3 linked regions of the Kluyveromyces lactis genome follow. The protein of the gene in region 1 purifies or fractionates together with the protein of each later gene. This does not show direct contact. Links are inferred from orthologs where the notes say so. Each region holds a gene or a part of one and is shown on either strand. Other genes may lie near its edges. The genes, in order: APL4, LAA1 and APM1.

Region 1 (4,430 bases):
AATTGTAGAATGGCTTCCTGTAGGAACAACGTCTGATCTTGAGAACTCAGAAGGATCCCTGGTAGCTAAACGTTCTAACGCATCACCAAATGCACCATCATCATCATCATCATTAAGTCTGCTCAAATGATTTAAGTATTCATCGTCAGTTGGCGAGATAGTAGGTAAAAATATGTTATCACCGGAAGTGGCAACGTGGAAGGTAACACCATTCTTCGAAGAAAGAAGTCTTGGTCTTAATAATCCACGGTCAGCCAAGTAATTTAGCAAACACGTTTTGGCAGTTTTTTTCCTGTTCACGACGGTGTTGCTGATCTGCGAACCAGTCGCACTGAAAGCGGTCGATACCCTTGTAATCCTCCTGCCCAAACAATTCTCCTCAAAGTCATCATCATCACCTTCATCATCTCCATCGTTTTCATTGTCTGGACCGTCATATTCATCATCATCTTCATCATCGCTTACCACAGAGAAAGGTCCACCACGTTCGTCATCATTAGACATTCTACGATTAGGCTGACTCTGAAATCTGCTCGGTTGTAAAGATGATGTGTAGATGTCATTGCCTAGGTCTCCATCAGAATCGTTGCCTCCAAGGCTATAATCCAACAGACTGCTATCTCCTTGATCCTCGTCAATTTCGTTATCAGTTCCTTCTTCCGAAGACATCGCTAATTCGTTCTGTGGGGCTCCGTAATCTTGATATCCATAGATAGAATACGGCGTTCCAAAGGCCATCATCGGACTGAATCCTGCAGGCATAGCAGAAGTGCCATATGCGCCACTGGGCCGTCTGGAAGATGCCCTACGAGCGCTATTAGAGCTTGGTACACTTGCGGAACGTCCATTACTGTTTGACCTTGAAAGGGTAGAACCACTACTTTTTGACCCGCTAGCTCCTAAGATGGATGCAAATGCTTGCTTGATTGACGAAGATCTTTTCCTATTCCCATCCTTCTGCTTTCCAGAGGACGACCCCAGATGTGAACTGAAAAATGACATTATCTTCCAACCGTCGTGGACCTGTAAAATCTCAGCTTATCTCTCAAAAGGGTTTGGTTACTTACCTTGGATGCAAAAAGAACCAAATGATCAATAAATAAATAACTTTAAAAGTGACCAAAGTGTGAAGTTCTTGTTTAGGAAAAACCACAATACTATATGTATTCGCTAACCCACTAAGCTGAATAGATTAGACTTTGCTCTCCCTGCTGAAACATCGGATTATATTTATGTTAATCATCAGCCTACTTAGTTGGTATGAACTATTTACATTTCAGATTTGAAGGGTTCTTTTTCATTAAAAACTTCCTTGGGCCCAGAAATCAGGTTTGGGGGCCATAAATAATTTCCATGATTTCGAAATCTGGAAAGGACAGTTCTATAAACAAGAATAGCTATAAATACATGTAACGTATACTGGGCTTGACAACTGAGAACAGCGTACACGGTATCTGTAACTTTTGCAATTAACGCTGGGAGTGTGCGTGCGTGTGGTGTTTTCAACTATAAGTTGTATATAGGTGCGCAAAGAGCTTTAGCAATTTTTTGTTTGTTGGGAAACATAAGTAGAAACAATGGGTTCATTGAGGACTTTCATTAAGGAAGTCAGGGCCGCGAAAACGTTGGCTGAAGAAAGGTCAATCGTTACCAAGGAATCAGCAAGGATCAGGACCAAGTTGAAGGATGATCATATTTCACTGGAAAGGAGAAGGAAGTACATTAACAAGCTGTTATATTTGTATATCTTGGGAGAAAAGACACATTTTGCCCAGGTAGAGTGTATAAACTTAATTGCTTCTGAAGACTTCGCCGATAAGAGAGTTGGATATCTTGCTGCAGTTTTGTTATTGGATGAGAATCAGGAATTGTTGACTCTTTTGACCAATCTTTTGAATAACGATTTGAATCATCCATCGAGATATGTGGTTTCGTTAGCAATCAACGCATTGGGCGCTTTGACTTCTCCAGAGTTGGCTCGTGATTTGTATACCGATATCAAAAATATTCTAGAGCATTCCAGGGACAGTTTTCTGATCAAAAAGGCGTTGGCATGCTCTGGAAAACTTATTGCGAGGGATCCATCCCTTTTGGAAATTTTCGCTCCTTACGCTAACAAGATGCTTTCGAGTAAAGAATCTACTAGCCATGGTGTTCTAATTGGTACCAACAAATTGATCCAGGCAATCATCATCAATACCAAATCGTACGAATTTGATAATCTACCAGAGATCATTGATAAACTATCCTCCTTGATACCTGATCTCTTAGGAAAACTACACCATTTGAATTTAGGATCGTCCAACCCAGAATATAACGTTGGCGGTTGTCTCGATCCATTTTTACAAGTCGAACTCATGACTACATTACGTTTGTTCTTGCAGTACTTCCCTGAGCAAACTAAGCCTTACAAGAATAACTACTTGGATACATTGACCCGAGTTGCAACTTACACTCCAACTACTTCGAATAGTTGTACTTCAGTCTTATACGAGGCAGTGCGCACTATTTTTTCATTCCAAGCAGAGCGCTCCTTGAGAGTACTAGGTGTCAACGTGTTGGGTAATCTAGTTGCAGACAAGGATTACAACACAAAATATGTTTCATTAAACGCATTGTTAGATGTTGTTTCGGTAGAGCCACAGGCGGTCCAAAGGCATAGAAAGTTTATCTCACGTTGTATCTTTGATTCTGATATTTCAATCAAAAAGAGGGCTCTTGAGATGACGTTCGCAATTTTAAACCAAACAAATATGAGGGAATTGATCGCAGAGATTCTTACGTTCTTAGAAAAAGCAGGAGAAAACGATAAAGGACTAATATTGTACTGTGTAGATCAACTTATAATGGTTTTCGATCTTCAAGATGAAATAGATGATTCCTGGAAACTGGATGTCATAGTTAAAATATTGAAATTTGTTGGCCAATATATTTCAGTTGAGAAGACTACTGATGCATTAATTATGATTAACAATAATTCGAACCTGGAACATAAGAAGCAAGTGGTTTCTAACATTATCAACGTAGCATTGGATAATGACTCTAGCCAAGTCTCAGACGAAAATTTAGCATGGAGAGTTGTCTCGATTTGGTGCATCGGTGAATACGCTGATCTGATTTTAGGTAATGGCAGATGCACAGAAACAAATTTAACAGGTTACTTATATGAATCCGATAGCTTGTACTGTGATAACCCTATGGTAACAAGCTATGTTTTGCTGGCTGCTTTGAAGCTATCTGTAAAGATTGATACAAAAGTGCTATCCAATAGATTGAGGCAGTTAATTAAAGGCCACACGGAAAACACCAACGTCATGATTCAAACAAAGGCTGTCCAGTATGGAATATTATTCAATGAGTCTACAAGTGTTAAAGCTGCGTTACTTGAACCAATGCCCATTTTCCATAAAAAGGTCTCAGAGACTGCTGCATTAAGAACCTTCTCTCAGAAAGTACCTGCACCAGCTATTAAGAAAGTGAAAAAGAAGGAAAATGATCTTCTTCTAGATTTACTAGGAGATCTCTCTACTCCAGAAACTACTGCGCCTACAAAACCTTCTAATGATCTATTATCTAACTTGAGCAATACTCCAGCACCCCAATCATCAAATCAAAATGGGTCAACTTTATCATCATCCTTCCAACAACGCATAGAAATACCACCAAACTCTATCAATATCCACTCATCTGATATTGTTGAAGTTTATGGTAAAGTAGAATCGTCAATCCCCGGTTGTACTGAAATAGACCTATTCTTGAAAGCTAAAACGAATATTAATACCTTACAGATCCTAATCGCTGTTCCTAAATCACAGAAGGCAGAATTCGGATCTCTGTCAAGCCACAAGGTAGCTACAGGTGAAGTAGCTAAGCAGGGTCTTAAAATTCTAGGATCTGGGAAAATCAAGCTAAGGGTCAAATTGAATATCAACTCCACCGAGGATCAATTCGATTATAAATTTGAAAACATCCCCCATTAACGAGCGTTAAAGATGCCTTAAAGTAATATTGTGTAAACTATAAAACGATATAACAATCACATCATGTAGATAAGGGATCTATGTCGATAAACACCGGTACGAGTTCACATTTCCGCAATCAAATAAGCGAACTCAAAAGAAAATTGGACCAGAGGGTGATTTTTCAACTAAGAAGAATTTAACGGGAGTATCCAGAAGCCTTAGCGTTGTTGGCAGCAGCTTCGACTTTCTGGGCCAGTTCTCCCGATTTCCCTTCCACGATAGGTAGGTATTTGTCAGAGAATGGTGAAATCAACCTCGTGTAAACAAGTTGGGCACCGCCGAATGATGGAATGGCAATGTACAGTAAGAAAACAGTCTTAAAGAACCAGTAGAATGGAACCCAGTACAAAATAGCCTTGGACCAGAACTCGATCACAGACAAAAACGAAAAAACAATCCAATAAGTTA
Region 2 (4,272 bases), on another chromosome or scaffold:
ATTTTTGCAGTGCAGTGCAAATTTATCCTCAGGATATACATACATTGGCATTGCTCTTCGTACTGCTATCAAACAAAATTTCCATAGGAAGACCTCTCTACAAAACTTGAATTTGCTTGAACAAGAAACGATTAAAAAATTATTTTGGACAATTTATAAAACTGACATCTATATGAATTGTATTTTGGGACTTCCAAATTCTCTAGATGAATCTCTCATAGACCAGGAATTTCCTTCTGATATTGATGACGACAGAATTTTAGAAAATAGACTTTTAGTGCAGCCTTCAGGGAAGCTCAGCTCTGTTGGTATGAATAACGAGCACACAAAACTAATTTTGATAATGAATAATGCCCATAAAATTCTTTATCCAATGTCTTTGACTGTTACTTCTATTTCACATAGTGAGATTAGCAAGTTAGAAGGTGAATTGTCCAACTGGCTTGAGAGATTACCGTTTCAGTTGAAACCAGAATTTTCCCCCACTTCAGAAAAACTTGCACCATATCTTAAACCTAATCGCTATTTGCATCTTGATTATCTTCATGCTGAAATTATGCTATATCGACCATTTATACACTATCTTGTTTTAGATAGTGAGGAATTCCCCAATTATCAGTTTCATATTCATATGGCCAATAAGTGCATAAATACAGCTCGTAAAGTTATTCGATTGGCTGTAGAGATGGATCAACAGAAAGTTTTAAACGCCGTTTACTGGTTTTCCGTCCATACAATTTTTTTTAGTGTTGCGTGCTTATTATATTTCATGCATCAAATGAAATTGAAAGGGTGTAATCTAAGTAGTCCTAACACCGAAAAGGACTGCAGAGATGGTTTTAACTTACTGTTGCAATTAAAGAATGTTTCCCTGGCATCTAGTAAAACTTTCGAGGTTCTAAAATCTTTATTCGAGAAATTAAACCAAAAAACTATGGAATTATCCGATACAGTGTTACCCAACATTATTGCTAAACAAAAGGAACATGAACTGGAAGCTTTTACCAAAATATCCGACCTCTTTATGGAGAATGAAATTGATGAGAATTTACTGGAATATCAAAATGTCGCATTGCCTGACCCAACCGAATTTGATAATGACTTTTTGAATAAAATTTTGAGTCAATTTTCATCAGATCTCAGTTGAATATTTCTATCGGTAGTATGTTCTTCTTTGGTGTTATGTGTATGTATGTATATGTATGTACTTCACTCTGTAAAAGGGTTATAATATTATGATTTTGAAAATTACCTTATAAGGTAACTAGGTTGTCGTTGAATTTAATCTATTTAAACTTTTTCTTTTTTTTTAGTCTGCCTTCTGGATATTTCACCAAAGATCTTCAGTTTAATATATATCAATTAATGGTAGGACACCTTTCCAATTCGACTGGTTGTCGTTTATCTGATTGAGTCAAATATATATATATTAATGGGAGATACATACGTTTCGCTTACTGAGCGCCTAGCATCGTCCGAAGGAAAAAGAGCCACCTTTATCAATTGGATCACCGAATCATTATCATGCAAAACCCTTAATACTGCGGATGTTCTTGATGATACTGTCGAGTTTCTACGAAGCATAATTGTGGCCGAAGACCGTGATGTGGTTGAATACGAATCCAAAGTGATCTCTTATCAGTTATCCAATCTATGTGTTCTATGCTTGAAGGATTTATATCAGGAAAAACCAGGAAAGGTGTATGATTTCGCTGGTTTTCTTTGTAACATTCTGTGCGAGAACTATGAAGAAGTTGTTCAAGGTCCTGCTCTTAAGAAGAGATTCAAGAAGCATAAAAGTACACACTTATATTCTGTTGTCAAAGATTATGCTATTACAATTTTGTGTCATTTATATGCTTGTTTTTCTGAAGATTTGCACTCTTTATCTGCTATGATTATTCCTGTATTATTCAAAGATCTTAAGAAGGTTTTAGAAAAACCTAAATACTTTAACTCGAATTATGCTATTTTTTTGATGAGGCTGTTCCAAACTATATCCATGTATAACAGTAACAATGCGATAGATGATCATTATCATCAGAAATATTTAAAACTGGTTAAGGATGTATTTTCTGATATTTCTGATGAAAGAGTTGATTACCCCTCTGATTTTGTTTCATCTTTGGTTGAGAATTTGACTGGTTACTTTGAGTCCAATTATTTTGTCAAAGCTCACAAAAATGACTTCTTGGACGTTATGCGTTCGAATATAAATTCAATTTTGACCGTCTGCGTTAAGTGTCCCAAATGGAGGATTGCTATCGCAGAATCGTTGGCTAAAATATTAGGCTACTATGTTTCCGTGGACTTGATGGAGCCTAAAGTCGCTTGTGAATTTTATGGTAATTTGTTTTGTTCTCTAAACTTTAAGGCGGGTAGGATTGCGATTCTGGAATCATTACATCAATTTATGTTTGTTAACTTCACCCGGAATACAAAGTTTTTGATGGGTGATAAGTACCTAAGTCTCTTTCAATGTTTTGTCGAATGCTTATGTCGTTGTGGTATAGTGATTTCTATTGAAGATATCGAGTTGTTTAACTTGGTCCATAACCAAACTCTGCCTTTTCTTACAGATTCAGCAAGGACATCAGTCATTGATGAAATTTTTAATGCTGCTGATAGGTACATTCTATCTGACAACCTAGAACAAACACAAAGTATACTAGGTTTATTAAGTGTTTTCTTCAGAGATCTGCCTGCTAATGTGATTGCTGACAGAGGGCTTGGAGAAAAGATTCAAGCTTCTCTTCTGAAAGTAAGTGCTGTTGAAAATCTAACTGTAAGGATAAATTCTGTCTATTGCTTGCAGTTATTTCTTCATAGCGTGCCATACAAAATTCCAGGTGTGGTTGATGAGCTATTGGAGAAACTTTCTTCTCAGTTTCAGATCGAGAAGGGTTTTAGTTTTGCAGGAAACCACGGAATATGCCTTCTGATAAGTTCTATCATTACTTCTCGTGATCCCGACTTTGTCTCATTCGATTTGATAATGCGAGTAACGGCTTTTGCAGTTGGTACTTTAAAATCTAACTCACTGAGTACCAAAAAAGTACTATATGAAAAGGAACTACTTTGTTGGATTCTATTGACCGGAGCTTTGTGTTTCCAAGACGAGAAGTATATCAAAACTCATTCTCCGCAATTGTTTATTTTTTGGCGAAACATTTTCACTCACTCGGCGGTTTATCATACCGAAGATGAACTTATGAAGAACATTGAAATTAGAAACCATGCTTTGTCTTGTATGATATCCTTTTTACGGTCAAGTGTTTTGAATGAAGAACTTTCTAAACAGGTTTTTTATTTAATTTCGAAATGTCTTAATTTTAAACACTCTGTGACTGCTGTTTCTGGTTCCATGAAAGAACTTTTGGCACGTTATGAACATCGGATGTATCAGGTTTTTCTTCTTATTTGTCCTTATGTTCATAAGGATGTTAGTACCTCGGCTCTATTACAGGCTTTGAAAAACTTTAGTAACCCAGTTAATTGTTTCGAGGATGGTTGTTTGCATGTGTCTGCTCCACAAAAAGCCGAAGAAGTTGCTCGTTTTCCCGCCGTCGGTAGGTTTTCTGATGTGTTAACTTGTAGTGAAAGTGCTGACTATGGAGTATCTACTTTCGTAAAATCTGTTCAGTCTTTTGGAACAAGCAAACCTTGTTTATTGGAGGAGGCATGGGAGAAACCTGTTGTAACTTCTAGGTCTTTTGATTATAATCATGTTATTCTTAATTTATCTCCACCTGTCCCATACTCTATTGCGTTGATTGACGTTTCATTGGAACTATTTTCTCTTTGTTTTCCTTTTACTAGTCAATCTGTTCAGCGTTCTTTGATAGAGACTCTAATTTCAAATGTTTTAACTAACTCCCATACTCGTCACAAGTATTCGGTGGTAAAGGCTAATGTTCTTTTTGCTATGTATATGGCATTAGTAGAAGTTGATAGGTGTAAGCTTGGAGTACATTGTACGATTGGTGAGCTAATAATTAATGTGTTGGACGAGTGTTCTTTTTCTGATGATGATATTTTATATGATTTGAAAGGACGCTGTTTTGGTTTTGTTTGTGCTGCAGTTAAACGTACTGGAGATGAAAAGTTTTCGAAAAGTTTAATCAATGTGTCAATTCAGAGGATTGTAAGTGATGTCAATCCTATATCTCGTGGGTTGAATCTTTTCATCATTTGTAATATTTTGAACGAGGATCCTGGATGTAGTGAATTTGCTGTTGTGTTAGATATTGTAAAAAAGTTCATTAGCGATCC
Region 3 (3,484 bases), on another chromosome or scaffold:
CTTGATAGGGCAAAGAACTTCACTGTCAATTCAGCTGCCAATTGATCTACCCATGCGGTATGGAAATAAACGCCATCATATCTGAACTATATATATATATATATAAATCAATGAGATATACCGATATTTATTTCAATAATGAAACATGAACAAAAGCTTCCAAAGGCATTCCCATGTTTCTTCTATTATGGCCATGCTCGTGGGTAAAGCATATTTACCAGAACCTATTGTGTCATCTGTGGCCCCTTTTACATGACAAAAGTAAGTCGGTTATATTCTATTCTTGTCGTAAATGTTTCAAGAATGAAGCGGTGGCTCAATGGTAGAGCTTTCGACTCCAGTTAAATTCTGGGAATTTTCCAAGGAAACAAAATTGCAATCGAAGGGTTGCAGGTTCAATTCCTGTCCGTTTCATTTTTTAACATTTTTGCATAGCTAGTCACATGACTACTTTTGCCACGTGGATTATGATTTTGTCCAATAAACTCTCATCGAATTTACTATTCCGCGATAGTTTAATGGTTAGAATTCGCGCTTGTCGCGTGCGAGATCGGGGTTCAATTCCCCGTCGCGGAGGAATTTTTTTACATTTTTGTATCAAGGTACAATCTCATCCTAAAACCCATTGTAGTACAGAAACAGAGAAGCATTATTAACATACACTGAACAGAGACTCTAACCTTATCAATCCTCACATGCCCAATGTTGTACTTTCTTCAAGATTAACGAATAATGATTCAGTGTTCTTGCAGGAATGGATTAAACCTTCGGTAAGGCCTTATTATTTAAAGAATGAAAAGACGAAATTCTGGCCAGAACAACGTGAACTGGTAACGGACTTACTAGAACATGATATCATAGAGTCAGCTTTCCAAACGGCTTTGAATCCCGCACCTCAGAGGTTCGTCAGAATTGTTAAATTCCATAGAGTAAACGATTACACCGTTTATGCAACGATTAGAGACTCTACAGCATTAATTCTATGCTACTTCACTGTAGACTGCGTGCTAGATTACGAAACTATAAACAATGATAGGATCACATTGAATACACTGAATACGTTGTTCGTCATCGGCAATGTAACCCTACAGTTTTGGAACCACAGAGAGTGCAAATTATGGTTCAATCAGGATTTTCCTGGACTTCGAATGGTCCCCGTGCTCAAGATTGAAAAGGCCCGGATGTTTGACAGAGACCAGATCTCGTCCAATGTCCAATTTGAATGGGTATATGACACACTTCATGGTTGAAGGTCTCTCTTGCCGAGTGTTCGCATTGTTAGATGCAATTTAGCACCTCGTGTATGTGGTGTACCGCTGTAAATAAGTGAAATTTCGGTATCCAAAGCATTGAAATCTCGAAACTACATTTATAAATAGTGTCTGAACAATGAACAATCTAAGTAATAGCCAAACCGTACACTAATATATCGGTATAGGACCCTGTATAGTAACCAATTGTGCAGTATCACTAGTGTGTTTTTTGCTCTTTCTTTGGTGGAGTTTCAGGAGGCAACATTTCTTAAAAAGATACCAGTATAATGGCTTCGTACGTTGCATTTTGTGATTCAAAGGGTAAGCCACTACTCTCGAGAAGATACCAAGATGATGTCTCACAGTCTGCTGTCGAATCGTTCCAGCATTTGTTACTAGAAAGAGAACAGGAAAGCAGTGTCATGCCTCCTTGTTTCCATCACAATGGGATTCACTACATGTACGTGCAGTATAACGATGTTTACGTGCTAGCATTGACCAGGTCAGTATCCGTTAATGCTACCACTATGTTCGCCTTCATGTACAAGTTGATCAATGTAGTTGAGGAGTACGTGAAAAGGGTGGAAGAAGAGTCAATCAGAGATAATTATATTATCATATACGAACTTTTAGACGAAATGATGGATAAAGGCGTTCCGCAAGTGACAGAAACGAAAATGTTGAAACAGTATATTACTCAGAAGTCATTCAAATTGACTAGGTCAGCGAAGAAGCAAAAGAATGTGGCTAGACCACCAACCGAATTGACCAATTCTGTCAGTTGGAGACCAGAGGGTATCAAGTACAAGAAGAACGAAGCGTTCTTGGATGTAATCGAATCGATCAATATGCTAATGACACAGCAGGGCCAAGTATTAAGATCTGAGATCTTGGGTACTGTCAAAGTTAGATCCCGTTTATCTGGTATGCCTGATTTGAAATTGGGTTTGAATGATAAAGGTATTTTCACAACTAATGATCAAGAAGATTCACCTGAACCTGTAGTTTCTTCGAAGAAAAAGAATAGTAATATAGAACTTGAGGATCTAAAATTCCATCAATGTGTGAGATTGAGCAAGTTTGAGAATGAAAAGATTATCACGTTCATCCCACCTGATGGGGAATTTGATCTAATGACTTATAGACTCTCTACCCCGATCAAACCTTTGATATGGTGTGACGTTAAGGTACAGGTACATTCAGGGTCTCGTATCGAGATTCACTGTAGGGCAAAGGCACAAATTAAAAAGAAGTCAGTAGCGAATAATGTGGAGATTTTAATACCGATTCCGGAAGACGCAGATTCGCCCACGTTCAAATATTCTCGTGGTAATATCAAGTGGGTTCCTGAAAAGAATGCAATTCTATGGAAATTTAGTAGTTTCCAAGGTGGTAAAGAGTACTCAATGGCTGCGCAACTGGGGTTGCCCTCAGTCTCTGATGCTGAACCACCAAAATTAAAAAGACCAGTACAAATCAAATTCCAAATTCCTTATTTCACAACATCCGGTATTCAAGTTCGTTATTTGAAAATCGAAGAACCAAAGCTACAGTATAATAGTTATCCTTGGGTACGTTACATTACGCAGAGCGGAGACGATTACACCATCAGGCTGTGAAAGTGACCATGATTTGAAGAATTTCTGGCCATCCTACTCTAATCTATCAGTGCTTATATGAGGAGAAAGATTCATTTGCAATTAAAAATGAAACGCCCTTGAGAGAAACGCTACTCAATCTGATCTTATGTGTGTATATAGTAATATAAATCTTTTTCCATTCTCAATTATGTTTAAATCCTTTGACATTTACTATTACATATGAGAAATCGATCGTCAGTAACTATGTTAGCCACTGGGTTTTATAAAGACTTGGCCAATTCTAAAACCTCTTTCTTACCTTCTTCAATACTGACCTCAGGTGAAACTTGAACCCTCTTCACTTCTAGTTTACCGTTCTTGAAGATCCAGTGAGATCTGACAACACCAGAAACAGCTGTCTTCTTAGCACCCAAAGCTCCGATAAATTCACGTTTAGGGTCGCTTAATAGATCAAAAGGCAAGGCTTGCTTAGTTTGGAAACTCTTCTGAGACTTTGGAGCGTCAGCACTTAGTCCAAAAACAGCAGCGTGTTCCTTCAATTCGCTATAATTGTCTCTGTAGCCACACGCTTGTCTAGTACAACCAGGTGTACTGGCCTTTGGATAAGCAAAGAACACCACTAATTTATTC

The links.
Region 2: the proteins of APL4 (region 1) and LAA1 purify together in Saccharomyces cerevisiae (affinity purification with western blotting; 3 studies listed by BioGRID, with this or other methods). This does not show direct contact. The link is inferred for Kluyveromyces lactis from reciprocal best matches to the Saccharomyces cerevisiae genes APL4 and LAA1.
Region 3: the proteins of APL4 (region 1) and APM1 purify together in Saccharomyces cerevisiae (affinity purification with mass spectrometry; 5 studies listed by BioGRID). This does not show direct contact. The link is inferred for Kluyveromyces lactis from reciprocal best matches to the Saccharomyces cerevisiae genes APL4 and APM1.

Annotation. Positions count from the first base shown.
Region 1 is NC_006041.1:592,784-597,213, forward strand, and holds APL4 (AP-1 complex subunit gamma), read left to right. Parts: upstream 1-1,577; coding exon 1,578-3,980; downstream 3,981-4,430. Other genes in the region: ECM21 (Ecm21p), read right to left, coding at 1-1,002; YOP1 (Yop1p), read right to left, coding at 4,159-4,430. UniProt on the Saccharomyces cerevisiae protein: Adaptins are components of the adapter complexes which link clathrin to receptors in coated vesicles. Clathrin-associated protein complexes are believed to interact with the cytoplasmic tails of membrane proteins, leading to their selection and concentration.
Region 2 is NC_006039.1:283,848-288,119, reverse strand, and holds the start of LAA1 (AP-1 complex accessory protein LAA1), read left to right. Parts: upstream 1-1,432; coding exon 1,433-4,272. Other genes in the region: KLLA0_C03201g (uncharacterized protein), read left to right, coding at 1-1,147. UniProt on the Saccharomyces cerevisiae protein: Involved in localization of clathrin adapter protein complex-1 (AP-1) and subsequent AP-1-mediated clathrin-coated vesicle cargo loading.
Region 3 is NC_006040.1:1,215,034-1,218,517, forward strand, and holds APM1 (Apm1p), read left to right. Parts: upstream 1-1,540; coding exon 1,541-2,872; downstream 2,873-3,484. Other genes in the region: KLLA0_D14201g (2-isopropylmalate synthase), read left to right, coding at 1-45; telomerase subunit EST3, read left to right, coding at 696-1,250; thioredoxin peroxidase DOT5, read right to left, coding at 3,115-3,484. UniProt on the Saccharomyces cerevisiae protein: Component of the adaptor complexes which link clathrin to receptors in coated vesicles. Clathrin-associated protein complexes are believed to interact with the cytoplasmic tails of membrane proteins, leading to their selection and concentration.